Linked DNA regions of Callithrix jacchus. The protein of the gene in region 1 purifies or fractionates together with the protein of each later gene. This does not show direct contact. Links are inferred from orthologs where the notes say so. Each region holds a gene or a part of one and is shown in the gene's direction. Other genes may lie near its edges.

The links.
Region 2: the proteins of HDAC1 (region 1) and RNF157 purify together in Homo sapiens (affinity purification with western blotting; 3 studies listed by BioGRID, with this or other methods). This does not show direct contact. The link is inferred for Callithrix jacchus from reciprocal best matches to the Homo sapiens genes HDAC1 and RNF157.
Region 3: the proteins of HDAC1 (region 1) and ZNF592 purify together in Homo sapiens (co-immunoprecipitation; 3 studies listed by BioGRID and IntAct, with this or other methods). This does not show direct contact. The link is inferred for Callithrix jacchus from reciprocal best matches to the Homo sapiens genes HDAC1 and ZNF592.
Region 4: the proteins of HDAC1 (region 1) and SP3 purify together in Homo sapiens (affinity purification with western blotting; 6 studies listed by BioGRID). This does not show direct contact. The link is inferred for Callithrix jacchus from reciprocal best matches to the Homo sapiens genes HDAC1 and SP3.
Region 5: the proteins of HDAC1 (region 1) and SMAD2 purify together in Homo sapiens (affinity purification with western blotting; 5 studies listed by BioGRID, with this or other methods). This does not show direct contact. The link is inferred for Callithrix jacchus from reciprocal best matches to the Homo sapiens genes HDAC1 and SMAD2.
Region 6: the proteins of HDAC1 (region 1) and PFDN5 purify together in Homo sapiens (affinity purification with mass spectrometry; 5 studies listed by BioGRID and IntAct, with this or other methods). This does not show direct contact. The link is inferred for Callithrix jacchus from reciprocal best matches to the Homo sapiens genes HDAC1 and PFDN5.
Region 7: the proteins of HDAC1 (region 1) and KDM5B purify together in Homo sapiens (affinity purification with western blotting; 3 studies listed by BioGRID). This does not show direct contact. The link is inferred for Callithrix jacchus from reciprocal best matches to the Homo sapiens genes HDAC1 and KDM5B.

What each region holds. Positions count from the first base shown.
Region 1 is NC_133508.1:68,943,347-68,946,397, forward strand, and holds part of HDAC1 (histone deacetylase 1), read left to right. Parts: intron 1-976; coding exon 977-1,069; intron 1,070-2,452; coding exon 2,453-2,561; intron 2,562-2,645; coding exon 2,646-2,786; intron 2,787-3,051. UniProt on the Homo sapiens protein: Histone deacetylase that catalyzes the deacetylation of lysine residues on the N-terminal part of the core histones (H2A, H2B, H3 and H4).
Region 2 is NC_133506.1:132,058,446-132,061,945, reverse strand, and holds part of RNF157 (E3 ubiquitin ligase RNF157), read left to right. Parts: intron 1-185; coding exon 186-294; intron 295-1,950; coding exon 1,951-2,140; intron 2,141-2,602; coding exon 2,603-2,781; intron 2,782-3,023; coding exon 3,024-3,089; intron 3,090-3,500. UniProt on the Homo sapiens protein: E3 ubiquitin ligase that ubiquitinates APBB1 for its degradation by the proteasome and thus prevents apoptosis and promotes survival of neurons.
Region 3 is NC_133507.1:23,624,020-23,627,519, reverse strand, and holds part of ZNF592 (zinc finger protein 592), read left to right. Parts: intron 1-424; 5' UTR 425-443; coding exon 444-2,663; intron 2,664-3,500.
Region 4 is NC_133507.1:55,497,108-55,500,607, forward strand, and holds part of SP3 (transcription factor Sp3), read left to right. Parts: intron 1-3,287; coding exon 3,288-3,500. UniProt on the Homo sapiens protein: Transcriptional factor that can act as an activator or repressor depending on isoform and/or post-translational modifications. Binds to GT and GC boxes promoter elements. Competes with SP1 for the GC-box promoters.
Region 5 is NC_133514.1:90,992,860-90,996,359, reverse strand, and holds part of SMAD2 (mothers against decapentaplegic homolog 2), read left to right. Parts: intron 1-1,872; coding exon 1,873-2,161; intron 2,162-3,500. UniProt on the Homo sapiens protein: Receptor-regulated SMAD (R-SMAD) that is an intracellular signal transducer and transcriptional modulator activated by TGF-beta (transforming growth factor) and activin type 1 receptor kinases.
Region 6 is NC_133510.1:66,256,658-66,260,784, reverse strand, and holds the start of PFDN5 (prefoldin subunit 5), read left to right. Parts: upstream 1-1,327; 5' UTR 1,328-1,352; coding exon 1,353-1,424; intron 1,425-1,621; coding exon 1,622-1,724; intron 1,725-2,026; coding exon 2,027-2,058; intron 2,059-3,283; coding exon 3,284-3,358; intron 3,359-3,477; coding exon 3,478-3,583; intron 3,584-4,127. UniProt on the Homo sapiens protein: Binds specifically to cytosolic chaperonin (c-CPN) and transfers target proteins to it. Binds to nascent polypeptide chain and promotes folding in an environment in which there are many competing pathways for nonnative proteins.
Region 7 is NC_133520.1:29,841,675-29,845,707, reverse strand, and holds the start of KDM5B (lysine-specific demethylase 5B), read left to right. Parts: upstream 1-1,233; 5' UTR 1,234-1,331; coding exon 1,332-2,075; exon of another isoform or gene 2,076-2,160; intron 2,161-4,033. UniProt on the Homo sapiens protein: Histone demethylase that demethylates 'Lys-4' of histone H3, thereby playing a central role in histone code. Does not demethylate histone H3 'Lys-9' or H3 'Lys-27'. Demethylates trimethylated, dimethylated and monomethylated H3 'Lys-4'.

The sequences.
Region 1 (3,051 bases):
TGCAATTTTACATCTGATATGGAATAGTTAATAAACAAGTCCCCTTGCTGAAGCCCATCCATGAACCTTAGGATAAGAATCCGTGGAAACTACTTCCTTGAACTGTTCCATCTGCTTCTATTAGCATGAATGCAGTGAAATCAGCTGTTTGCCATGCCCAGTGACCCTTGGGTAAAAAAGTGGCACTAATTCAGTTGTTTGCTATGGCAAGCATTAGAATAAATGAACATTCACTTTTTTTTTTTTTTTTTTGAGACAGAATCTTGCTCTGTTGCTCAGGCTGGAGTACAGCGGTGTGATCTTGGCTCACTGCAGCCTCTGCCTCCCTTCTCCTGGGTACAAGCAATTCTTATGCCTCAGCCTGAGAATAGCTGGGATTATAGGTGCATGCCACTATGCCTGGCTAATTTTTGTAGTTTTAGTAGAGATGGAGTTTTACCATGTTGGCCAGGCTGGTCTTGAACTCCTGACCTCAAGTTATCCACCCACCTTGGCCTCCCAAAGTGCTAGAATTACAGGCACATTCACTATTTCGAGGTTCCTGGGAAGGACTTTCTTCTCTCTCCTTCCCTCCACACCACCCTAGAGAGGGAGCATGGGGGAAGAGGAGTGAGCATTAGGGCTCTCTGGAGTGGAAAGGGTTGTCAGGGGTGGTTGTTACTTCTGTGGCCCACCTGCCAGCCAGCCCTAACCCAATCCCAAGGTAGAAATCTTGTGCCACAGGGTAGGGTATTCAGTCTCTACGCCCATCAGTAGCTCTCAGCCTAGGTGTAGGCTTAATGCTATGTCTAGAGATGTGAGCTAGATTGGTGAGTGAAGAGAATGGTACTCACAAGGTACCCCTGTTCTGTCCTGGCCCACATCATGGGCCTAGCTTATCTCTCTTAGAACCTCTTCCTTTATCCCTCCAGCCTGCATCCCTGACCTTCCTTTAAGCTTCATCCTTTAGTTTTACTTTCATGTCCTTCTTAATTAGGATATCGGGGCTGGCAAAGGCAAGTATTATGCTGTTAACTACCCGCTCCGAGATGGGATTGATGACGAGTCCTATGAGGCCATTTTCAAGCCGGTAAGTGGCTTTATGCACTCCTTGGGCTACAAAAAGGGGATTGGTCTAGGGCAGGGGAGCAGAACACCCCCATGATACCTCAGGAATCTCTCCTTACTAAAGCTGGTGGGGAAATAGAAGTGTTTGAACCCTGGATTGCTGTGTGGTCAGTTAGGGGAACAAACATCCATATTTGATGGTTCCTTCTATGGGTCAGGTCTTCTGCTGGATACAAACATATCTAAGACATGATCTTTGCCCTCATGGACTATGGTGGGAAAGGCAGGCACATATCCAGTAGTCTGTGGTTAGTAGTGTTTTGTGTCTCTGTCTCTCTGGGCTACTGGGAGATGATTGTGTTCTTTTGGTAGTGCTATGTCTCCTTGGTTTTTCATGTTCCTCGTTGCCTTACACTGATGTCTGCACATTTGAAGAAGTAGGGACTTACTCCAGTCTTTGCAGATTGGCTTTATCTGGGAAAGCCCTTCACCAGTCAGCCCATTCAGAGATTGTGGAAAGGCTCTCTGGCCTGTTCCATGGGCAGGCTGGCCTAGTGCCTGTGTTTTTGAGGGATGGTCAGAGGAGTGAGAGATAGACTCCTGCCTGGGCGGGCAGGAGGGTAGTCAGGGATGACTGCACAGAGGTGGTGATGTTTAAGCTGGACTTTGAAAAACGAGAAGGTACCCATGTGAAGAAGGAGGTGACAGCAGTAAGGGTGGCATTCAGTAGAAGGACCAGCACCAGCAGAAGTGCAGATATGCCAGTGTGGCAGCATGTAGGCCACTGTGGTATGTGGGAGGCATGCTGAAGGAGGTGATGGGAAGTGTATGCTGGGCTCAGTGTTTCAAAGGGAGCCTTGAATGCCATGCTGAGGAATTAAATCTTCACTTATAAGCAATAAGAAACTGTTTAACCTAATAAGGTCAGGTAGTCATTCAGCAAACACTGACTCCCTACTGTGTGCCTAGTATTTAGTAAGGGCTACAGAAGTGGGAGTTATGGTCTCTGTCTCATTAATGTTAGACTCTGGTTGTGAAAATAAGATAAACCAAGAGTGCTTGCTCATAATGTAAGGCTCCAAGTCTGTAAGACCAAATGAGTAGAGTAGATCCGGCTAAGGGTCAGGAAGGCTTCCTGGAGGAAGTGGCGCTAGAGCTTGGGCAATAGAAGAAGAGATTTAGGGAGTTGACATGGAGGCCATTCTAGGTTCAGTGTTAGTAGAGTAAGAAGGGTCTTGGATTAGGGAAGCAAGAGCTCCAGCCTGGTACTCGCTTTTCTCTCCCATATAGCATGAGGGAGAGCGGAAAGGTAGGAGTGGGGGAGAAAGTGTTGCACCCAGCCTTTCCATCCCAAACCTCACATTGCTTTCTTGAGGTTGGTGGTGACCAGGATTTATCATTTTAGGTCATGTCCAAAGTAATGGAGATGTTCCAGCCTAGTGCCGTGGTCTTACAGTGTGGCTCAGACTCCCTATCTGGGGATCGGTTAGGTTGCTTCAATCTGACCATCAAAGGTGAGACCAGATAGCACAAGGATGGGTGGGCGGGGTCCTGGTTGGTACTCCTGTAATAACTCAGCACCCCTTCTCCCACCAAAGGGCACGCCAAGTGTGTGGAATTTGTCAAGAGCTTTAACCTGCCTATGCTGATGCTGGGAGGAGGTGGTTACACCATTCGTAATGTCGCCCGATGCTGGACGTACGAGACAGCTGTGGCCCTGGATACGGAGATCCCTAATGGTAATAGCTCCAGGGCCAGGTTCAGCTGGGCTGGGCAGGAGCTGGAGCTCAGGTGTCCTTAAGTTCCTAACACCTTCCCTGTTGGTCACATGCCTTTTCCTCTTCTGATACTGGTCATTGAGTCCCCTGCCTGTCCTCTTGTGATCAATAGACCATAACCATCACTTTTTCCCGGAGTCTTTTTTTAGAGACAGGGTTTCACCGTGTTGGCCTGGCTGGTCTTGAACTCCTAACCTCAGGTGATCCGCCTGCCTTGACCTCCCAA
Region 2 (3,500 bases), on another chromosome or scaffold:
AAATGTCAACAAAAGGATTGCTGAAGCCCAGGAGTCCGAGTCCAGCCTGGGAAACATAATGAGACCCTGTCTCAAAAAATAAGCAAACAAAAGAGATTTGGGTTTTCCCCTCAGTTTCTCCTCACAGTAAGTACTGTTCTTAAACGGATGTTGGATACAGCTGCTTTTCTTCTGGACTCCTACAGATCCATTTCCCAAAATTCTTCTGTGCTGCCTGAAGAGGAAGATGAGCGTTCCTGCAGTGAGTCGGAGACACAGCTCTCTCAGAGACTGTCAGCTCAGCATCTCGGAGAGGTAATTGACATTCCTCTCCTTTTCTTGGGTGTTGTACTCCAGGGACTTTCCTCCTACCTGCATGCCTCATCAGGTCCCTCTGCTCTCATTCACTCATCAAACACCTTTTCAACACCCTCTGAGGCAGCGGCAAAGCTTTCATTAGATTCATGCATTCATCAGTGTATGCCTCCTGTATTATTTGCCAGGCACTCTGCTATATGCTGAGGATAGGAGCTGGGGAACTACAAAAGTCCCTGCCCTCGTAGCATTTATATTCTTGCTGGCTGGGATGGGGTGGTGGACACAAAAGACAATAAGTAAAAAAATACACATGTGCCAGACGGTACTGTGGATCAGCATGTCACACAACAGGGAAGGGAGTGTCACAGCTGGAAGTGGGGATTACCATTCTTAAAAAGTGGTCCAGGAGCCAAGACCAAGGGATGTGGAAGAAGTAGCTATGCAGATATAGGAGGAGAGAGGGCTATAGGCCTGGGAACAGCAAGTGGAAAGCCCTGGGGTTAATTGGGGGCTGCTGGGAGGCCTGTGTTGAGGAATGGAAGAAGAAGGCTGGAATTGTCTACCCTGTGTGTCCCACATAGACCTCATTTAACAAAAGTGTATACACCTCCTCTGTGTCGGGCACTGAGCTAGATAGAGCAGAGCATAGAAAGGTAAAGTGGTCCCTGGCCGTGGGTGCTCAGGTCTAGCTGGGACAGGACAGATGCATGGGAATAGCACGTGCCTGGCACGTTGTTGTTGCTCAGTAAGTATTTGTTAAATGACTAAGTAAATTTTATAGAAAAGAATTGTGCCCAAAACGGAGTCAATAAATTTCTGTGTCAGAGATGGATAAGATCAGTGGAAGAGATCAGAACATGTGTTATGGAGGAGTAGCATTTTAGCTGAACCTTGAAGTTTTTTAGACAAGGAGAAAAAGGTGAGAGAAACATCCATGTGGATAGGGTGGTGCATGCAAAGGCACAGAGCAGGAAGTCGAGGCTCTGAGCAGGGACATGGTGAGCACTTCGCTTCCCAAAGGCCCACCCGACTGCAGCGTGCACTCTGGACTAGACAGGAGACAGACTCAGCCAGGGAAGGGCTCCAGTAGCCGAGGCGAGAAGGATCGCCTGAACTAAGACAACAGAGGAGTGCCTGGAGGGAGGGGAAGGGATTTTGGAGACACAGTCTGAAGAACTTTGCATCTGCCTCAGATGGGTCAGGCTGTGCGCCCAGATGCCTGGCAGGTGGGGGCTGGGATTGGAGGTGGGGCATGTGAGGAGCAGCAGGCTGGGAACAAGGTGGTGTTTGTATCAGAAATCAGCTGAGCAGGAGTTAACTGTGCTCTGTGTGAAGATACCCTGCAGGCAGGGAGGCATCTGCTGGCTTTGTATGCTTTTGCCTCAGAAGGAAAGCTGATCATAATCCTGGGGAAACCTGGGGTGTCCCCATGTCACAGCTGCTGGGTGACCTGTGTCACCCGAGCTGCAGTCTTTGTATGGCCCCAGCAGATGCTGTGCCTTGGGCAGGAGATGTTGACTGAAGTGTGTGCCTCCCCTGGGAGGCAGTCATTCCAGGCTTGGGCTGAGAAGTGAGGACAGAAGAGAGAAGCTGCGGCCTCTGCAGGCCAGTCAGTCCCTCCCAGTGTCGCCTTTCCTCCTCATCTCTACCCAGACCTCCGCCCTGACCCCTTCCTCCAGCACAGGTGACTGGCGCTTGCTCCATGTCTGTTGTGTCCCCCACACCCCCCAGGAATGTGGTGTGACTCCAGAAAGTGAGAATCTCACCTTGTCATCATCTGGAGCTATTGACCAGTCGTCTTGCACAGGGACGCCTCTGTCGTCCACTATTTCCTCCCCAGAAGGTACATGAGGAGCGGGGAGCGGCTGCATGTCCTTGCCCCTTACCCAGCCACAGTGTCCTGGCGTTTCCTCCGGGAAGGGACATGGGAGTGGCAAGCTAATACCTGGGCAGCATGACAGGTAGGCCCTGGCTTGAGAGGGAAGAGAACTTGCTTTCCTACCATGGGTTAGTGGGCTTGCCTGTAGCTAGGGGGTGTCAGTTCTCTCAGCTCCAGTCCTGCTGTCATGAGGTTTCCTTTAGCATTATGACAGGGAAAAGCACATGTCTTGTCCTCGAGGCTGAGTTCTGAGCTCTAAAATATAAAGGAGCAGAATTTTGGAAAACCTTAAACCTAAAACCAATTTTAGGGGAGGCCACTTTACTCCTTACTGCCTGAGTATAGAGAGAGGGCTCTGCTCCCCAGAAAGCTTGCAGAAGCCCTGCCTGACCTCTAGGCTCCTTCCTCCATCCCCTGTCTCCAAAGGCCCTGCCAGCACCAGCAGCAGTCTGGCCCAGTCTGTCATGTCCATGGCATCGTCCCAGATCAGCACCGACACCGTCTCCTCCATGTCTGGCTCCTACATCGCCCCTGGCACTGAAGAGGAGGGAGAGGCTCTCCCTTCCCCCCGGGCTGCCAGCAGGGCCCCTTCAGAAGAAGGAGAGGTAAAGGAAAGGACGGGAACCACCCTGGCTTCTCTGTACTTTGCAGACATGTCCAAAGTAGCATAACCAAAGATCTGCCACTCATGGCAGCAAAGCCCCCCAAAGTGCCTGGAGTGCCACAGAAAACAAGGCATTCCCTTAGCTCTGACCCTCCTATTTGACACCAATTTTGTACTGAACAAGGTTTGGGTTTGCTGTCAGGAGCTTAATGGGAGACCTGTAAAAACTGTGCTCTTCTGCAGGGGCTGCCAGCGGAGTCTCCAGACAGCAACTTCGCTGGCCTCCCAGCTGGAGAGCAGGATGCAGAGGTAACCCCAGCAGCATGAAGTGGACCCCTTCCCACAGCCAGAGGAGTCTGGCCATGGCTGGGGATGCCAATAAGGACCAGGGCCAGGGGGCTGTGCTGACAAAGCCTTCCTGGGGACATGCCTATATCAGTCACAAGTAGAATGTGGGTAGAGATGAGAGCAGCCACCCCGGGGTCTGTGGACTGTCCAGTGAGTGGGGCCACTGGTTCTCAGGGTCACTGGTGTGGAGTGAGTTCAAGAAAGAACTTTTCTTGCCAGCCCCTGGCCTTGAGAATGTATTGTCCTTCATTCCACTAGTATCTACATGGGGAACTGTGTCCCAGGTACTCACTGGCACTGGGGCAGATACAGACCTATACAGAACCGTGTGGTGAGGTTTCTGCCTACCCCCAGCCCACTGGACCTATCTAG
Region 3 (3,500 bases), on another chromosome or scaffold:
AGAGGAAGTTATAGCCAGGCTTCATGTATGAATCAGTAGTTTTCTGAAGGATGAAGTGCTGAGTGGCTTTTTTTGCTAGTACACGTGATCATGGAGGGATGATGTTCCCTGAGAAGCTGAGGGAGTATGGTAGGAGTGTACTCTTTGTGGCTACGTAACCAGCCATCAATTTCCAGGTACTGAGGTTTAAGAACTGCCAGGCAGGCTTGTTGCTATATCTCACTACTTTTTCCATCTCTGCCCCACCTCTCTAGCATTTTAGAAACCTGTTGGGGTAAAACTGAGGTGTGTGGCTTCCTGTCATAGTATGTGGGGTTCAGCATGCGTGTGCTGACTGTATGTGCCTTAGTTTGATGAGTGTATAGTGAAGATGGTCCAGTGGGACCGTGGTGGTCACTGATTCTGTTCTCTGTTTCTGTTATAGCCCTTTCCAGCATCCAGCCATGGGGGATATGAAAACCCCAGATTTTGATGACCTTCTGGCTGCCTTTGACATCCCAGACCCCACCAGCCTTGACGCCAAGGAGGCCATCCAGACACCCAGTGAGGAGAATGAGAGTCCCCTCAAGCCTCCAGGCATTTGTATGGATGAAAGTGTGTCCTTGTCTCACTCAGGATCAGCCCCTGATGTGCCGGCGGTGAGTGTCATTGTCAAGAACACCAGCCGCCAGGAGTCGTTTGAAGCGGAGAAAGACCACATTACTCCCAGCCTCCTACACAATGGATTCCGGGGTTCAGATCTGCCTCCAGATCCCCACAACTGTGGGAAATTTGATTCTACTTTTATGAATGGAGACAGTGCCAGGAGTTTCCCTGGCAAACTGGAGCCTCCCAAGTCAGAGCCATTACCCACCTTCAATCAGTTCAGTCCAATCTCCAGCCCAGAACCTGAAGATTCCATCAAAGATAACGGATTTGGGATAAAGCCCAAACACTCTGACAGTTATTTCTCATCCCCTCTTGGGTGCGGGGCTGTGGGGGGTCCAGTCCTGGAGGCTCTGGCTAAGTTTCCAGTCCCAGAGCTACATATGTTTGATCATTTTTGTAAGAAAGAACCCAAGCCAGAACCCCTGCCCTTGGAGAGCCAGCAGGAACACGAGCGAGGTGGGCAGAAGGCAGTGGAACCTCACAAAGATCTGGATGCCACTCGATTCTTTGGGGAAGCTTTGGAGTTTAACAGCAATCCTAGCAACAGTATTGGAGAGTCCAAGGGGCTTGCCCGGGAGCTTGGTACCTGCTCATCAGTCCCCCCTAGGCAGCGTCTAAAGCCAGCTCATTCCAAGCTGTCCTCTTGTGTGGCAGCTTTGGTGGCCTTGCAGGCCAAAAGAGTGGCTAGTATCACTAAGGAGGATCAGCCTGGCCACACAAAGGGTCCCTCAGGGCCCACTAGAGAGGGTTCTAAAGGTAGCCCCAAAATGCCTAAGTCACCAAAGAGTCCCCGGAGCCCTCTGGAGGCCACTAGAAAAAGTATCAAGCCATCCGACAGCCCTCGTAGCATCTGTAGTGATAGCAGCAGCAAAGGCTCACCGTCTGTGGCTGCCAGCTCCCCACCAGCAATTCCCAAAGTGAGAATCAAAACCATTAAGACATCATCAGGGGAAATCAAACGGACTGTCACAAGGATCCTGCCAGATCCTGATGATCCAAGTAAGTCCCCTGTTGGGTCACCTCTAGGGAGCGCCATTGCCGAGGCCCCAAGTGAGGTGCCAGGGGAGGAGGTGCCTGTGGAAGAGCACTTTCCTGAGGCAGGCACAAATTCAGGGAGCCCCCAGGGGGACAGGAAAGGGGACGAGAGCATGTCAAAGGCCAGTGACTCTTCATCTCCCTGCGGTAGTTCTGGGCCCCGGGTCCCAAAGGGGGCTGTCACGGGCACACAGACAGGCAAGAAGCAACAGAATACAGCACTGCAGGCCTCTACCCTGGCCCCTGCCAACCTCCTGCCCAAAGCCGTACACTTGGCCAACCTGAACCTCGTCCCCCACAGTGTTGCTGCATCAGTGACAGCCAAGTCCTCAGCGCAAAGACGGAGTCAGCCACAGCTTACGCAAATGTCGGTGCCCCTTGTCCACCAGGTGAAAAAGGCTGCCCCACTGATTGTAGAGGTCTTCAACAAGGTCCTCCACAGCTCCAATCCCGTGCCCCTCTATGCGCCAAATCTCAGCCCGCCTGCGGACAGCAGGATCCACGTGCCGGCCAGTGGGTACTGCTGCCTGGAGTGTGGAGATGCATTTGCCTTAGAGAAGAGCCTGAGCCAGCACTATGGCCGGCGGAGCGTCCACATTGAGGTACTGTGTACACTGTGCTCCAAGACGCTGCTCTTCTTCAACAAGTGCAGCCTACTGCGGCACGCCCGTGACCACAAGAGCAAGGGGCTCGTCATGCAGTGTTCCCAGCTGCTGGTGAAGCCCATCTCTGCGGACCAAATGTTTGTGTCGGCCCCTGTGAACTCCACGGCACCAGCAGCCCCAGCCCCTTCATCCTCTCCCAAACATGGCCTCACTTCGGGCAGTGCCAGCCCCCCTCCTCCAGCCTTGCCGCTCTACCCAGACCCCGTGAGGCTCATCCGGTACTCAATCAAGTGTCTTGAATGTCACAAGCAGATGCGGGACTATATGGTCCTGGCTGCACATTTCCAGAGGACAACAGAGGAGACAGAGGGGCTGGTAAGCAGACCCTCACTGATACGGGTATCGGGCCCCCGGCTTATACAGGTTCCATGACTGGGCATGGAGAGGAAAGTTTATTGATATGAGGGCAGTGGTGGAATCTTATGAGTGTTAGAAGAGGACGTCTGCCTGAATATTTAGTGCTTGGTGTTTGTTGGAAAATGTATCCTGCTCATACTAAGGTGAGACCCTAATTTAGAAAGTGTATCTATGAATGTGTCCCATGTGCCACTCAATGTCTCCTTGAAGGGTCTGTTAAGGCCCAGTATCAGGCCTGAGATAAGGGTGTACTGGATGATCTCCCTCTGGTCTCTGGCAGGTGTCAGCACAGTCTTAGCATGTGACCAAGGAACTTGGGGGCAGTGTTAGGTGAGTCACCGCCGCTGCACCTCAGTCTGCTCTAAGAACTGTCTTTTTCTTTCTTGAGATGGAATCTTGCTCTTTCTTGAGATGGAATCGCCCAGGCTGGAGTGCACTGGCAGGATCTTGGCTCACTATAACCTCCGCCTCCAGAGTTCAAGTGATTCTCCTGCCTCAGCCTCCTGAATAGCTAGGACTTCAGGCATGTGCCACCACTCCCAGCTAATTTTTGCATTTTTAGTAGAGACAGGGTTTCACCGTGTCGCCTAGGCTCGTCTTGATCTCCTGGCCTGAAGTGATCCACCCACCTCGACTTCCCAGAGTGCTGGGATTACAGGCATGAGCCACTGTGCCCAGCCAAAGAACTGTGTCTTTAAAAAGTGGTTGTTCTACCCTGCAGTGACACAGCTGTTTTTGCGGAGTCCTTTGTGGAAACTGCAGTGTGGGCAGTGGCAGGGCCAGGGTAGAAGGGAG
Region 4 (3,500 bases), on another chromosome or scaffold:
GGAAATTGAGTTGATCTCACACAATTCCACATTGTAGTCAGAACTAGAACTCAGTTCTGAGTTCTTTTCTTTCTAGTATAATATGTTCTTCTCTGTGAGGCATATTTTTAGCATAAATTATCTAGTAGTTTTCTGATTTTTTTCCTCCATTTAGAAAATAGGGTGTTTAGCACATTTTTTTTAAACTGCAAATTCATTACCTTAAAAAAGTCCCTTTTCTTGCTTGATTCTTTTACTTAAATTATCTGTTGCTTTTTGTTTTCATCTTTGTGCTTCACAGGTATTTTATATGCTTTTCATTTCGTGCTTATTCAGAAAAGTTCTGAACACATCACTTTGCTCTAGGTTTGGAGATTTTCCTTCAATTAATGGCCTAACTTGCTGGGATAAATGGAACTACAGTTTATTTTTATCTGGTTTCTGGAGATTGGGTGACTTGGGCAGTATTTACTCAGATTTGTCATTTGAGTAGTTGTATTTTATTTTCAAGGAATTTCTTGAAAGCTGTTCAGTGTTGGTTGAATATCTGCCTTTATTACTATTTTGTAAAAAAATCCAAAAATTTTAGATGCTGTAAATTTGACTTTTTTTTTTTTTAAAGAAAGGAAACAGGACAAAATGCCAGTATTATAAAATTAATTTGTGTCTGAATTGCTGTATTCTTTGATAAAAGTTCAATACTTGTAAATTTAATGCTAGTCAGAAAAAAATTTCAGTGGATTCTCCAGGTGAGCAATAACCTTAAGATAAAGATTGGATTTTAGACACTTTAGTGTAGATTTTAATATATAGATTTAAATATTTGTAGTTTACTTAAAGTGTTAAGAGACTGAAATAAAGCATGATTTGTCACTGTAATGTTAGGAAAGGTAACTTAACCTTGTAATTTCTATACCAGATTGAAGTTGCAGAATGACATGTGACTTTAATGTCTGATGCTTCATTTTAAAATAGTTTAGTTAGTGTAATTTAAGTGTATGTAAGACAGATTACTGTTTTAGTTCAGGCCTAGAGATTTGTATTGGGTCTCACAGTTTCTCAGCCTTTAGTCTCTTCTGCATTTCAGTCTCCTTTACTGAGACTTAGTTTATCTTTATAAAACACAGATGTGATTGCACCACTCACTTGCTTATAAACCTTTTATAACCTTCATTCACTATCTACAGGATAAAGTCCAAACAATTTAGTGGGATCTGTGAAGCCATTTACAAGCCTTGATAAAAATGTCTAGTCCTGTTCCCCTTTTCTCTCTGAATATGAGCCTTTTTGTGACCTTGTCTTCAACTCCAAACTGTGTATTATTATTTAGGGTTTCTTTCTGTCTGTGATTTTGTTTCTATGCCTTTCTTAATGCCTCTTTTTTTTTAATTGACTATAGTAAAATCTTACCATTTGTTCTAATACTAGTTTAAAATATCGCTAATGAAATCTTTTTTTTTTCAGTCTTGTATCTTCCGCAGTGTTTGATCATATGACTAGTATATGCTACTTTTCACATTGTATTATCATGGATATATTTGCTTGGATTTACAGTGAACCATTTGAAGATAGGACTTGTATGTCATGGTTTACTCACATGTGTATTTCATCTTGGTAAATTATATTCAAATGTTTTAATTGAGTCGTTTAACTGTGGTTCATTCACTGAAATATTGTATATACTTCTCTACTATGTCTTCATGAGAGTTAGGTAGTGAGTTTCTTTAACTGAAGATTTTTTTGTTTATCATATTTGCATTAAGTTTTATGGAATGGTTTATGTTGGGAGAACTGTATATGTCTTTACTGATATTTATAGTTTTGGACTCCCATTGAGAATTCGATGAAACCCTAGATTTTCTTTCTCCCTTTCAAATTGTGTTAATATTTTATCAAAATGTTGGCATGCTGTTTTAAAGGGCTTCCTTGAATTGAAGCCCAATTATGGATCTTAGGTTGACAGTGCTGGGCTAGATAAACTTATGTTTCCATTGTCTTATGATTTGGGGAGTTACTGAACTCACGGATAGATCTAGAAAGAAGTAGGAGAAGGATGGCTTTATTTGGATAGTAAATTATATAGGTCTTATTTCCTATGTCTTTGCTATTGGTCTTGGGGGAAGGTATGACACAGACATGATATGGTGTTTAAGGGCCTGGGTTTTGGAGTCAAGTTTAGCCTAGTTTTAAATCCTGTCTTGTTTGTTTGATAGCTATGTGATTTTGTCCCTCAGTTTTCTCAGTTGTGAAATAGGGATAATATCTATTATTATAAAATCTATCATAAAAACGATTTCATAGGATCGTTTTAAGGAGTAAATTACATAATCCTCTAAATCTCTCTCATAGTTCTTGGCATATAAAAGCTTAAATATTAAATATTATTGCCATTATTTTCCTAAAAAAAAAAACTACTCTTGGCATTGACTTGTAGGGTTTTATTGCTTTCTGCTTTTCTACATTGGATTTTTTTCCAGTCTTGTCTAATCCATAAACTGTGGGGATGATAACTGAGCTTCTAGCAGGTCCAGAAGCATACAGACTGTTGCTTTACCTGCTATTCTAAGTTTGCAGGATAATGCCAGGCTTATACCAGAATACAAAAAATATATGCCAGGTATTCTACTGCAAATTTAGAATAGTAGGTAGAGCCACAGTCTGTATGCTCCAGCTTCTGATTCTAGAGAAACCTTTCAAATGGGGCTGCGTGGGTCATGTGGTCCCAGGGCAGTGACCTTTTCTCATTAAATTTTTTTAAGGTCTTTATTTTTTAATAGTTCACAGAAAAAGTAAAGAGTTTGATAGCTTGCTGATAGAATAGTCCTAGCCATGAGTTTACTTTAGAGTATGTTAATACATGCCACAAAGGAGTAGATTTAATTGTTTGATTTGAAGTTTATAGCAATAATGAATAAATCTTTTCTAACTCGATGACAATACACTATGCTGTTTCCTTTTTATATGCAAATATAACACACCTGATTCAGTCATAGCCAACTTCGCTGTTTTTTTTAAAACTGTACAGTGTTAGAGGTCATAGACACAGAATTAGAAGATTGGTTGGTGGTTGTGATGAACATGCTGAGAATTTTTTTTTATTCCACTCAAATAGGATGAATTGTTTTTGCAGAACAATTCTGGAATTGTTCTGGAAGTGATAATTATTGTAGTTCACATAGTACTGTACTTACTGTATTTGAAGATAAGTTGAATTTTCAGGTAGTAGGATTTATACCAGTTTTTAGAATGTTTTGAGAGTTCGTTTAAATATACCACAAATATATCACATTTTTGTTTTCTTCATCCAGACAGGTGATTTGGCTTCTGCACAGTTAGGAGGAGCACCAAACCGATGGGAGGTTTTGTCAGCCACACCTACAACTATAAAAGATGAAGCTGGTAATCTAGTGCAGATTCCAAGTGCTACTACTTCAAGTGGGCAGTATGTTCTTCCCCTTCAGAATTTGCAGAATCAACAAATATTTTCAGTTGCACCAGGATCAGATTCATCAAATGGTACA
Region 5 (3,500 bases), on another chromosome or scaffold:
GCCAGTTCTTTGATGGGGAATAACTTTTCATCTTGTGTTAGGATTTTTTTTTTTTTTTTTTTTGAGGTGGAGTCTCACTCTGTTGCCAGGGTAGAGTATAGTGGCACAGTCTCGGCTCACTGCAATCTCTACCTTCCAGGTTTAAGTGATTCCTCTGCCTCAGGCTTTGAGTAGCTGGGACTACAGTTGCACGACACCACTCCTGGCTAATTTTTTGTATTTTAGTAGAGATGGGGTTTCACCATGTTCGCCAGGATGGTCTCCATCTCCTGACCTTGTGATCCACCCGTGTTGGCCTCCCAAAGTGCTGGGATTACAGGCATGAGCCACCACACCCAGCTGGATCTTATTTAATGTTAAGAGTATATGCAAAGTGTGCTTAGAAACTGTTGTCTGATCATTATTATTAAGGAACAAACTCATGAAAATGTAAGCATGATTGTATTCATAAAGATACACTTTGAAAACTGCAGTTGCAGTATTTGGGGTGTGTGATGTAAAGACCTCTTTACTTTCTAAAAAGGATGCTTTTGGGAACTTTATTAAATATGCAGATTGAACACATATTTTCCTTTTTTCTATATCTCACTAAAATTGGCAAAGAAAGAAAAGCATAAGAGGTAAGGAATGAGAGCGGAAACACTAGAGGAAGGAGAGGTTACTCAGATCTTGGAATGTGAATCACAAATAGAAATGTCTTAACTGATACAGCAATACTAGAAGGCTGAAATCTTAAGTTCCACGAGAGACTACAGGGAAAATAGGGAAGAAAATAATCAAAGAAATAATAAAAACAAGACTCATAGAATTTTAGTATCAATTAAGTGCTCAGAACAGTTGATGAGAAAAAGAATAAACACTGCATACCCTCTTAGAACATTATGAAATTTCAGAACCACAGATAAGATATTAAGAGATTCTGGAGCAAATCACTTTTTAATCAAAGGATCAGGAATAAAAGTTATGTTAGACTTATCAGTAGTGGATTCTAGGAAGTTGAGGGGACAGTGCTTTCTAAATTCTGTGTGAACTTATAAGGAATGACTTACAGCAAATTAAGCAAAAAAAAAAAAAATGTCAAGGTATACAAAATCAAGGTATGCTATGCTACTTTTATGTAGGAATAAGGTGGTGGGAATGTGGATAGATATGTGACCATGTTTATATTTGTAAAATGACACTGAATAGACAAAACAGCTTAATAAAAATGACTCCTGTGGAGAAGACAGGTTATTCCTTAAATTGGGAAGAGAAACCCTCTAACTTTACTCACTAAGCAAATTTAGATGAAAATGAAAAAAGTATAAAAAGTTTCTTTCAAGGGCAGGTGAAAGTGGACTACAGCTTTTCTCTGCAGTTTGCCGTGTTTATTTCTTTGTTCTTGATTTTTTCACAGTTTATGCATTTTCCCTTCTTGTAACTATAGATTTTGCCTCCTGGTAGTTACGAAAGTTTAAAACCTGGGGGAGAGTGGGCTTATAAATTTTCAATGTATTTTTGTATAGTCTTTTGAGAGTAGATTAAAGTTCTAAAAAGTGAGAAAACCTTTTTTTGTGAAAATATTTTAATTGACAATTTTAAGAGTTTAGTATTGGTAGAGAAACATTGTTAGAAGTATCTGATTTTACTTGCAAAATTACTGTGTTTGCCCACAAGACAAGTCCTTATAACATTGGCTTGTTTTTTAGACTAGTTTGTTTACATAATTCATTTAAATTCATAAAGATAACTTTTTCATGGGTTGGGAAATCTGTTGGGAAAGTCATAATTTGAATTTCTGTCTGGTTTTACAGTTTGCTTTCTATGATACGTTGAAATTATTTCTTGGTATTCAAGTTAGTCTCTACATGATCCTTTCAATATCTTTGCTAGGTTCGATACAAGAGGCTGTTTTCCTAGCGTGGCTTGCTGCCTTTGGTAAGAACATGTCGTCCATCTTGCCATTCACGCCGCCAGTTGTGAAGAGACTGCTGGGATGGAAGAAGTCAGCTGGTGGGTCTGGAGGAGCAGGCGGAGGAGAGCAGAATGGGCAGGAAGAAAAGTGGTGTGAGAAAGCAGTGAAAAGTCTGGTGAAGAAGCTGAAGAAAACAGGACGATTAGATGAGCTTGAGAAAGCCATCACCACTCAAAACTGTAATACTAAATGTGTTACCATACCAAGGTAAGTTTTGTTAGATCCCAAGTGTGATGATCAAATTGTGTAAAGGAATCTGAGGGAAAGTTACTGAATTTGTGTTCAAGTCGCCTGTAAAAAGTGATGATTAAAATATGACTGTTTTTAACCTTGTTGTATAAATTGTTTTTATTAGCTGATTTGTTTTAGAAATCATTATCTTGAACAGTGAGAAGGTTGAATCAAGCTTAACAAGTTACTTAGATTTATTATCTTCGTTGCCTAAATTTGTATGTTATCTTCATTTCTGTGATTGAATGATACTTGAATAAAGAATGGAAGCTTTTTCTACCACTAACATAGTAGCAACCTATGGTTTCTCCTCCCTTGGTCAAAACTTTTATCAGTTGGGTGAAAAGAGGCTGCTCACTTTTTAATGAGTTTTATATGGTTTTTCTTTGAGTGGCAGCATTACTTCCAAAAGAACAGTGAGTTCGGTGGCTTCTTAAATGTTGTAAACATTAGTCAGACCTGTCTTAAAGACCTACGTCTTAGGTTGGGAGGACCTGTTACTTTAAAAGGCTGAAGTTTTCTGAGGATAAATTAAATCATTTACAGATAAGTACCACTGTCATAGTATTTTTATTTTTTTAATAAAGTGGCAGGTGTTTTTAAATATGTTTTACTACTACTTGTATACATTACAGGTTTTGGGGGGACTGTAAGAAATGTAGAATTCTCTAAAATGATTGTTTGCAGTGATATAATGTGGACTAGCATATAGCGTGTGAAACCATTCTACTTGGCTTTGAGCTTTGAGAAGGACACTTTTGATGCTTGTTGGATAATAGATTCCAATAACACGAGCACAGCCTGTCTAGCTGCAAATACTAACAGTAGAATATTTCTTGCCTTGTTTGGTGGACCATCCATTACTTTCCCTTACTTGTTTTGTGTATATCTTAAAGATTTCTTTTTTAATTTGTTCATTTGTTTTACAAATGCCTATTGAGTGTTTGCTGTGTAGAAGGCACTGTTTCTAGACATATGGAGTTACAGTGATGAACAAAACACAAAACTCCTGCCTTCCTAAGGGACAGAAATACACAGTAAACAAGTAAACAAATTAATTGTAATTTGATATGATGAGTGCAAAGAAGGCAACCAAATGCAGTGATATGATAGAATAATATGAAGAATTAAAAAGCTGCTTTGGCTTGGATTGTATTGCTTGAGCAGAGCTTCGAGAAGCAGCAGCTAACTGAGGGAAGAGAAAGTGTGAAGACACTGAGGTGGGCTTCTTGTATTAGAAGAATTAAAAGGAGCCCAGAATAGATGGGCTTGTTCAAAGCTTCTATAGGACATCCTAGGGCATGGTGAGAGTTCA
Region 6 (4,127 bases), on another chromosome or scaffold:
AATCGCTTGAACCCAGGAGGCAGAGGTTACAGTGAGCTGAGATTGTGTCATTGCACTCCAGCCTGGGCGACAGAATGAGACTTGTCTTAAAAAAAAAAACAGATACTGCATAACTGCCCCCTTCCTGCTGTGGTACTGTAAACTGATGGGAACAGCTCACAGGAGATCAAGTTTGAGAGCCTGGGGAAGAAAGGCAAAGACAGGACAAAGCCTACCGGGCCTGGCTGGGCCTCAGCAGACAATCTGGAGGAGAAAGGGGCATCAAAATGCTAAGTAGAGATAAGCCCAAGGAAGGGTAATCATTGACCCGTTGAGAGTGTTATGGGGCAGGTACCACCCGTCCATCCTGTCTTCCTGCCTCAGGTACCCTGGGAGTAGCACTAGTTTTAATGCCTCAGTTGCCCTGCCTGACTCCTAAGTAGATGTTAAAGGCTACTGCTGTCTGCTCATGTACAGCTGTCACACTTACCAATGTGTATACTTTAGCAGTAGATTCTGTGGATCTGTGGAGTTATAATCGTGAAGTTTTTCTCTCCAATTGTTAACCTCAAGGGAAGCAAGTATCTTACACTCTCACGTATCCCTGCCATATAGCACATGGTAGAACCTTTTTTATTTTTTCGAAGACAGTCTGGCTCTGTTGGAGTGCACAATCACGGCCCACTGCAGCCTCAAACTCTCCAGCTTAAGCGATCCTCCCACCTCAGGCTTCCAAGTAGCTGAGGCTACAGGCGTACACCACCAGCCAGGCTAATTTTTGTATTTTTAGTAGAAACGGGGTGTCGCCGTGTTTCCCAGGCTGGTCTCAAGCTCCTTGGCTCAAGCGATCCGCTCTCTTCAGCCTCCCAAAGTGGTGGGATTGCAGGCGTGAGCCACAGTGCCCGGCCAAAACATTTTGATTAATTTGTGCTGTACTTGGTTGACAATGGTGCCTCCTTGCTGTTCGCTCCATCTCCAGACTCCCTTCCACTTCATCTGCTCAAAGCACCATTTTCAAGATGCTACTTCGGACCAAAGAACTGAAGACCTGTCAGTAGCTTATACCACCCATGTGGAGTAGCATACACTACTTTATAACATCGTGGTTGTGTCGTGAGGACTTTAAGATTTTGAAGTTCCTTGTGGGCTGGAGTCCTGTTTGCCGCAACTTTACCGTGCTAGGGTTAGAATGTTTTATGAAACCAAAGCACAGCTCAGCCTCTGACCGGTTCAAGCCCCCCCTTCCCTTCCGGGACGGAGAATCATAGAGCAGCCTGGCGCAGCTAGGCCTCCTGGCGCCATAGAGACGCGCAGAGGACTGCTAGAGCGTTGCTCGCCAAGGGACTTCCTTTTCGTTAGTCCTCCTTCCCAACATGGCGCAGTCGATTAACATCACGGAGCTGAATCTGCCGCAGCTAGAAATGCTCAAAAACCAGCTGGACCAGGTGGGACGAGCCCCAGAAGCGCCTCTTTCCTGCTCTACATCCCCCCTGCCCATGCGTACTTCCTCGCTCCCCGTTCCAAGTTGGGAGCCTGCCTTTCCCAGGCGAAACCTCTATCCGATCCCAGGATCCGCCCCCTCCCTGGCCGGGCTCCCTTCTCCCCGCAGCCCTTTCATTGACTCTATTCCCGTCCTCTGTAGGAAGTGGAGTTCTTGTCCACGTCCATTGCCCAGCTCAAAGTGGTACAGACCAAGTATGTGGAAGCCAAGGACTGTCTGAACGTGCTGAACAAGAGCAACGAGGGTATGGGGTAGGCGGGTGAGGGCAACCTAAAGTGGCGAGCCAGCTTCTCTCGTCCCACTTCCTAATCCAGTTTTTCTTAACTGAAACGAGAAAATCCATTACATCTCGTATGCCGCTTCATGAACCCTTTGCATGTTGCCTACCTAAAATTGAAATGTACAGGACATACCTCTGCTCCTGTTGCCCCTGTTTCCGTTCTTTTCACACTGTCTGTGGGTGCTGTCCCCTGTTGGAACTCTCTTTAATGTCTTACGTTGGAGCCGCTAACCTTCCCCAGGTGTTTGTCTTCATTGCTTTCACAGGGAAAGAATTACTCGTCCCACTGACGAGTTCTGTATCCTTTCCACAGGAACGGCTACCTGCTGCCTTCTCCCTTTCTCCCTCACTCTCCCCCAAAAAGCGGGGAGAAGGGTCGTTTTGATTACTTCAGATTCCCCTCCCCCGCAACGTTTTTGAGAATACTCTTACTACACACTATGTAGCTCTTATATCTAACTTCACACCAACATCCAGCTAATGCCTTGTGAATACCAAGGAGTATGTCGAGTTGAGATGTAATATTTCCCTTTGCTGTTTGAGAACATTAATATGGAGATAAAGCTGGTGGTTTACATTTTGCTAATAACTTAGAAGACACAGGCAATAGACAAAATAGGAGGATATAGAAACAGGTATGTTGACTGTTAATCTTCAATTTCAGCTTAATTGTGGCTCATTCCTAAACTGTCACTAAGGAACCTGGATTGTGTCCACTTGCTGAATGTCTTACTTGAATGAGCGAGTTATGGCAATACGGCACCTTTGTAGTCTGAGAACTGACAGGCTAAAAAGAACACAGGAATAGTATAGTAGGGAATCGTTAAAAAAAAAAAAAATGGCTGGGTGCTATGGCTCACAGCTGTAATCCAAGCACTTTGGGAGGCTGAGGCGGGCAGATCACCTGAGGTCAGGAGTTCAAGATGAGCCTGACCAACATGGGAAAACCCCATCTCTACTAAAAATACAAAATTAGCCAGGCATGGTGGCACATGCCTGTAATCTCACTTAGGAGGCTGAGGTCGGAGAATCTCTTGAACCTGGGAGGTGGAGGTTGCAGTGAGCTGAGAGTGTGCCATTACACCCCAGCCTGGGCAACAAGAGCAGGACTTCACCTCAAAAATAAAAATAAAATAAAAATTCATCAAGAATTAGCTACTTCATGATTGAGGGGGTTAAGGGAAGTGAGGCTAGCTTTCCACTTGTACTCTACAACAGTAGGAAAACATATCTAGTCTTTCTGGAGGGGCTAATGGGAAGAACTGCAAGAACTGTTTAGAGGGTGAGAGATGGGATGAGGCAGGACAAGAGAGTGTTCCAGCATACATCATTTTCTCCATAAAGAACCAACTTCTGTCTTCTTTCCATTTGGAGTTATAGATATTGTTCTAAGGCCTCCAGATTATTCAGTCCTTATGCCTTGTAGCTTTTTGGAAAACGAGGGTCTTTAGAGGCCAAGCAGGCTGGGTTGCAGAATCACAGCTCATGCTGGGCTAGTTTTTCCCTTAATACTTGCTCCTCAGATGTATGTCCCTGGGAAGCTGCATGATGTGGAGCACGTGCTCATCGATGTGGGAACTGGGTACTATGTAGAGAAGGTGAGTGAGAGCATGTGGATGCCCCTCTGAACAGGGAAGGGAAATTTAGGGAAGAGCTAGAGTGCAACATGGCCAGAGGGTATCTCCTTTTAGCCCCTCGTTCACCTCTGATCTTGCAGACAGCTGAGGATGCCAAGGACTTTTTCAAGAGGAAGATAGATTTTCTAACCAAGCAGATGGAGAAAATCCAACCAGCTCTCCAGGAGAAGCACGCCATGAAACAGGGTAAGCTTTTCCTGGGGCACCTCTTGACCGTCTCTATCTCCATGGTAAAGAATGTGGATTGGAGTGTGAAGCACAGGGGTGTCCCCTTTGCTGGATTAAAACTATGTCTTAGTTGCTCTTTGGCATCTTTAGAATCTGCGTACTGCATAATCACTATTTGTAGATTTCTGGGTTGAGCGTTTGAGAAATTGAGAGGAAAGAAATATGTGTGCTTTGGTGGAGCTCCTATTTAATGAGGATAGAATGGGGGATGAGATAAACACACAGGAAGGAATCATGACCCAAACGAACTAATTACCAGCAATTACAACCCCGGCTGCACATTAGATTCACTCAGGAAGTTTAGAAAGAAAACGTGGGTTAATTCCAGATCAACTAAACCTGGAAGTCAAGGGAGGCGAAGTTATACCAAGGTCAGTTTTTTTTTTTTTTTTTAAAAGCTCCCCTCGGCCAGGCACATGGCACACACCTGTAATTTCAGTACTTTGGGAGGCCGAGGCAGTTGGATCATGAGGTCAGCAGATTGAGACTATCCTGGCCAACA
Region 7 (4,033 bases), on another chromosome or scaffold:
GTCTGACCTTGTCATAGACTGTGGATGACTGTTTTCCCTGCAACGTCTCCACCTCCGAATAAATAGTCTCCATCACTTATTAGCCATATGCACTTTGGCAAATTGCTTAATCTACCTATGCCTCACTTTCCTTATTTGTAAAGTGGAAATAAGAGTACCTACCTCATAGGGTTGTGTGATTAATGATGCGACAAAACCGTGCCTAGGATATGAAAGTGCTCAAAAGTGTTACATTATTATTATCATTACTGTTACTGCCTTCTCACGAACATACTCTTTGTATGTTCAAGCTGTTATCTCTACTGGAAAATTCTTCATTTCTAATACTCTTTCCAAAACCCCCTCCTGGGTTTTCCTGCACCCACAACTGTGTACTGACATTATTGAATGATTGGCTTATGGGACTGAGCCTTTCTACCAGACTTAACTTCTTCAGGGCCGGAACTCTGATACGTAGTAAGTGGTCAATAAAAGTTGGCTCAACTGAAACCCTAAGGTTTCAGTTAAACTCCATCCAAGGCGAAAGGCGCGGCCCCGCCCGATTCGGGGGCGGGGCGGGGAGCCCTGCACGGAGGGTGGGCGGGTGGGGGAGGGGTGGGACTCTTTTTCCTCGCCGTGGCGGCGGAGGCGCACGGCGTGGGCTTGCGGCGAGACGTCGTCGTCGGAGGCTGAAAAAGCCCAAGGTGCTGCCGTTGCCCGTACTACTCGGACTTGCTGTGGCCCGACCTGCGTCTGCACGGGTCTCGGACCGAGCGGAGCCCGCAGCCTCGGTCCCAGAGCCCACCCTGCTCTCGGTCCTGCCCGGCTTGGGGTGATGGAGCCGGCCACCGCGCTGCCCCCGGGCCCGCGCCCGGCGCTGCCCCTCGGGGGCCCGGGCCCGCTGGGCGAGTTCTTGCCTCCCCCCGAGTGCCCGGTCTTCGAGCCCAGCTGGGAAGAGTTCGCGGACCCCTTCGCTTTCATCCACAAGATCCGGCCCATAGCCGAGCAGACTGGGATCTGTAAGGTGCGGCCGCCGCCGGTGAGTCACGCCAGCACCCCGGATCCAGCTTGCGGCTGGGGGAGGGAGCGGGGACGCGCGGGGCCTGGGAGGCCCAAGGCGCGGGGGGTGGGGGAGCCTGTCGCCCCTCCGGCCTGGTCAAGTTTGGGGCTGCCTAGAAGGTTGCATTTTGAGGCTGGGGGAGGAAGACGGCGGCTTTTCCAGGGTCGGAGATAAGGAGCGTGGGATAACCGGGGGCTTTGGCGGTGCCACTGGAGGGCCGGGTCGCCGCGGGGCTCAGGCGGCCGGGAGCGCGGCCGGGGCCGGGGATTCGGGTTCGGTTCCGGATGGAGTGATGGCAGGAGGCGGGGGTGGTCGCGGGGGAGTTCCCTCACGGAGCCCAGCGGAGGCGCGGGCTGGAGGGGAGGACTGTGGGCCCGGCGAGGCTCAGCAGGCTGGTCCTCGCCTCCGCTCCCGGGGTGCGGGGGTGTGTGATGGGGTGGGGGTGGGGGTGGGGGACTTGCGAGTTGTCGTGCGAGGAGGAAAGTTTTCAATATGGCGGCGGGAGCCCCTGGTCCTTTGTGTGGTGGCGGCGTCGGCCCGGAGCGGCCCTCACCTGGGCGCCCCACCCTCCAGACCAGGGCACCCCTCCACCGCCTGGTCCCTGGGCCTCCAGGTGTCACCCGGGCCGGGGTCGAGAAGGGGGCGGCCATCGCTGGCTGGGGGCGGGGAGGAGCCGCGGGTCCGGCCCCGGAGCGGATGTGTTGTGGGGAGCGTTAGTGTCTGGGGGACACTTTTGGGGCGGCGGGGGCGGGACGGGCGGCGGTGGGCCCCGTTGTCCGCCCGCGCTCCGGAACGCGCACACACCCAGCTTCTTCTGGCCCAGCCGCTGGGCTCCCCAGGGAGGCCTGGGCTGTGCTGGTGGGGACGGGGTCGGGGCGAGGCCGTGTTTGTAGGGGAATGTCAGACGAAGAGACCTCCGAAGATTTCGTGCTCGTTTCCCCCGGCCCTCAGCCTCCTGGCGCTGAAAGGCAGTCACCCACCGCAGCCCTTCCAGCCCTGTCTGCAGCGACTCGGACCTGGGGGCAGTGAGCGAGGGGTGGGTGTTGCTGAAACCATCCCTAACGGCTCCAACGTTCGCTGAGGAGAGCCCGGCCAACTCCTTCCCCCGTGGCCGGAACTGGGTGCGCTCCTACACCTCTGGTTTTTGCCCACCTTTCGGGACGGTCTGAGTCCGAGTTAGCCTAAGCGGCGGTTGGACGGGCTGGGGCCGTTGGGAAGGGGGTTTAACTGCCTTTCCTACTGTTTAAGAATCTTCTCCCCACTCTCCTCCCCTCGCCCCCCTCTCCTAAGTGGAGGAAGACCCCCTCCCAACCCTTCTCCCTTAAGCATGCTCTTTGTAATGACATTTTGAGTTGTGGGGATTCTGTTTGGAATCGTTATGTTTTGGAAAGCTGTTTTCAAGGGAGATCCCTGAAAATAAGGCTTCTTATCCCAACCCTTCCCCACCCCAAATTAAAACATGGACGCCTACTTTAGTTTTTCTTAAGCAAGTTTGAAAATGGAGGTGAAATATATGCTTCAGAAAATAACTGGCCAGGGAATATAAGGGAAATATTTGAAAATAGATCAGTTTCTTACAGCGAAGTGGGCAAGGTTGATTCTTGCTGCTTGCGGGAAGTACGTTTTTGTAGTGCAAAGAGGGCTGCAGAAGTTATAACAGGGCTGGTTGGAGCTGAGGTTTTAATTCTTGAGTAATAGGTCATGTTTCACACAGTAGCAATGTTGCTTTATGTCACATGCTAGGAAGGATGAATATGAATATTCCACATTTGCATTAATTGGATTTTATTCAGAATTTGGGTAACTTGACTAAGTTCTTAGTAACCAAAATGAGGGGAGTCAGGTTCCTGGGAGGTGTCCTCCATGTTGGTATTGTGGTGTACCAGGGCTGGGGTAAATCCTTTATCTTGCTTTCTTGTTCTTTGCCTTTTAGAGGGCCCTTTTCCTGAAAAGATAGTATTGCTCTGGTTAGGTTTGGCTACCCATTTCCTCATCTTGGCTAGAATATTAATGGTAATCTTTGCAAAATGTGTAATTGAATTGCCTTTTCCCCACTCTGAATGCCAGACAGACATGATGGCCACCATTTTGTATTGAGAGTACTACATAGTACAGCCTGAGGAAAGGGGTTAAAGAGGCACCAGTAATCTACAAATACAACCAGTGCTCTGTTTTGGAGACCTCCTTTGTGTGGAGGGGGCTTGCTTCCTCCTTTGTTTAACAAACTCCTATGCCAAATGGAAAGAGTTTGGGAGTATTTGTTGTTGATAAAACCACAAAAAGGGAAATCTTTCTAGAAGTTGTGCTCTTGAAGAGGGGTCTTGTTGGAACAAAGGCTTCTTAAGAGATGTAAACAGTCTTTGTTTTAGAAACTGTTTTGTTTTTAGGAAAGCTAACTGTGAACAAGTGGTTTCATATAGTTGATATATAGCAACAAAAAAGATATGAAATATTTTCCATGGTGATAGCTGTATAATGTCTGCATTTCTGGAGGATTTTTGTTAACTGAGTTTTTGGAACACAAATGGTTATATTAAAAGGGGAATTGGGACTATTGGTATTTTACTCGTTAGAAGGTAAGGGGAAGTATAAAACATTTCTGTCTCCTTTTGTTCTTAACCTTTGTAGCTTTATGAAGGTACTTACTATAGCTTCAGTTTATAGCTGCTTTCTCAGTGAGGCTCCCAAACTGCTTGGCTTCTGACAAGGTGCTTACATTATTTGGTACGTGACAGCTTAGGGATTCTCAGAAATTTGAAAATATAGTAAGCTAAATGTGAGAAAACGTAATTAAGTCAAGAAGACTATACTTCAACTCGATTGAGTTTGAAGTTTAATACAAACCTTTGTTTCAAATTATATCAACTATGTAGGATAACTAGGCTTGTTTTCTGGACTGAGACCTTCCTAAATTTGTGAGTAATCTGGCTTCTGGTTTTGTCACCTTTAAAATGCAAATTTTGATTTCTTCCTCAATACTGTACTTAAGATGTC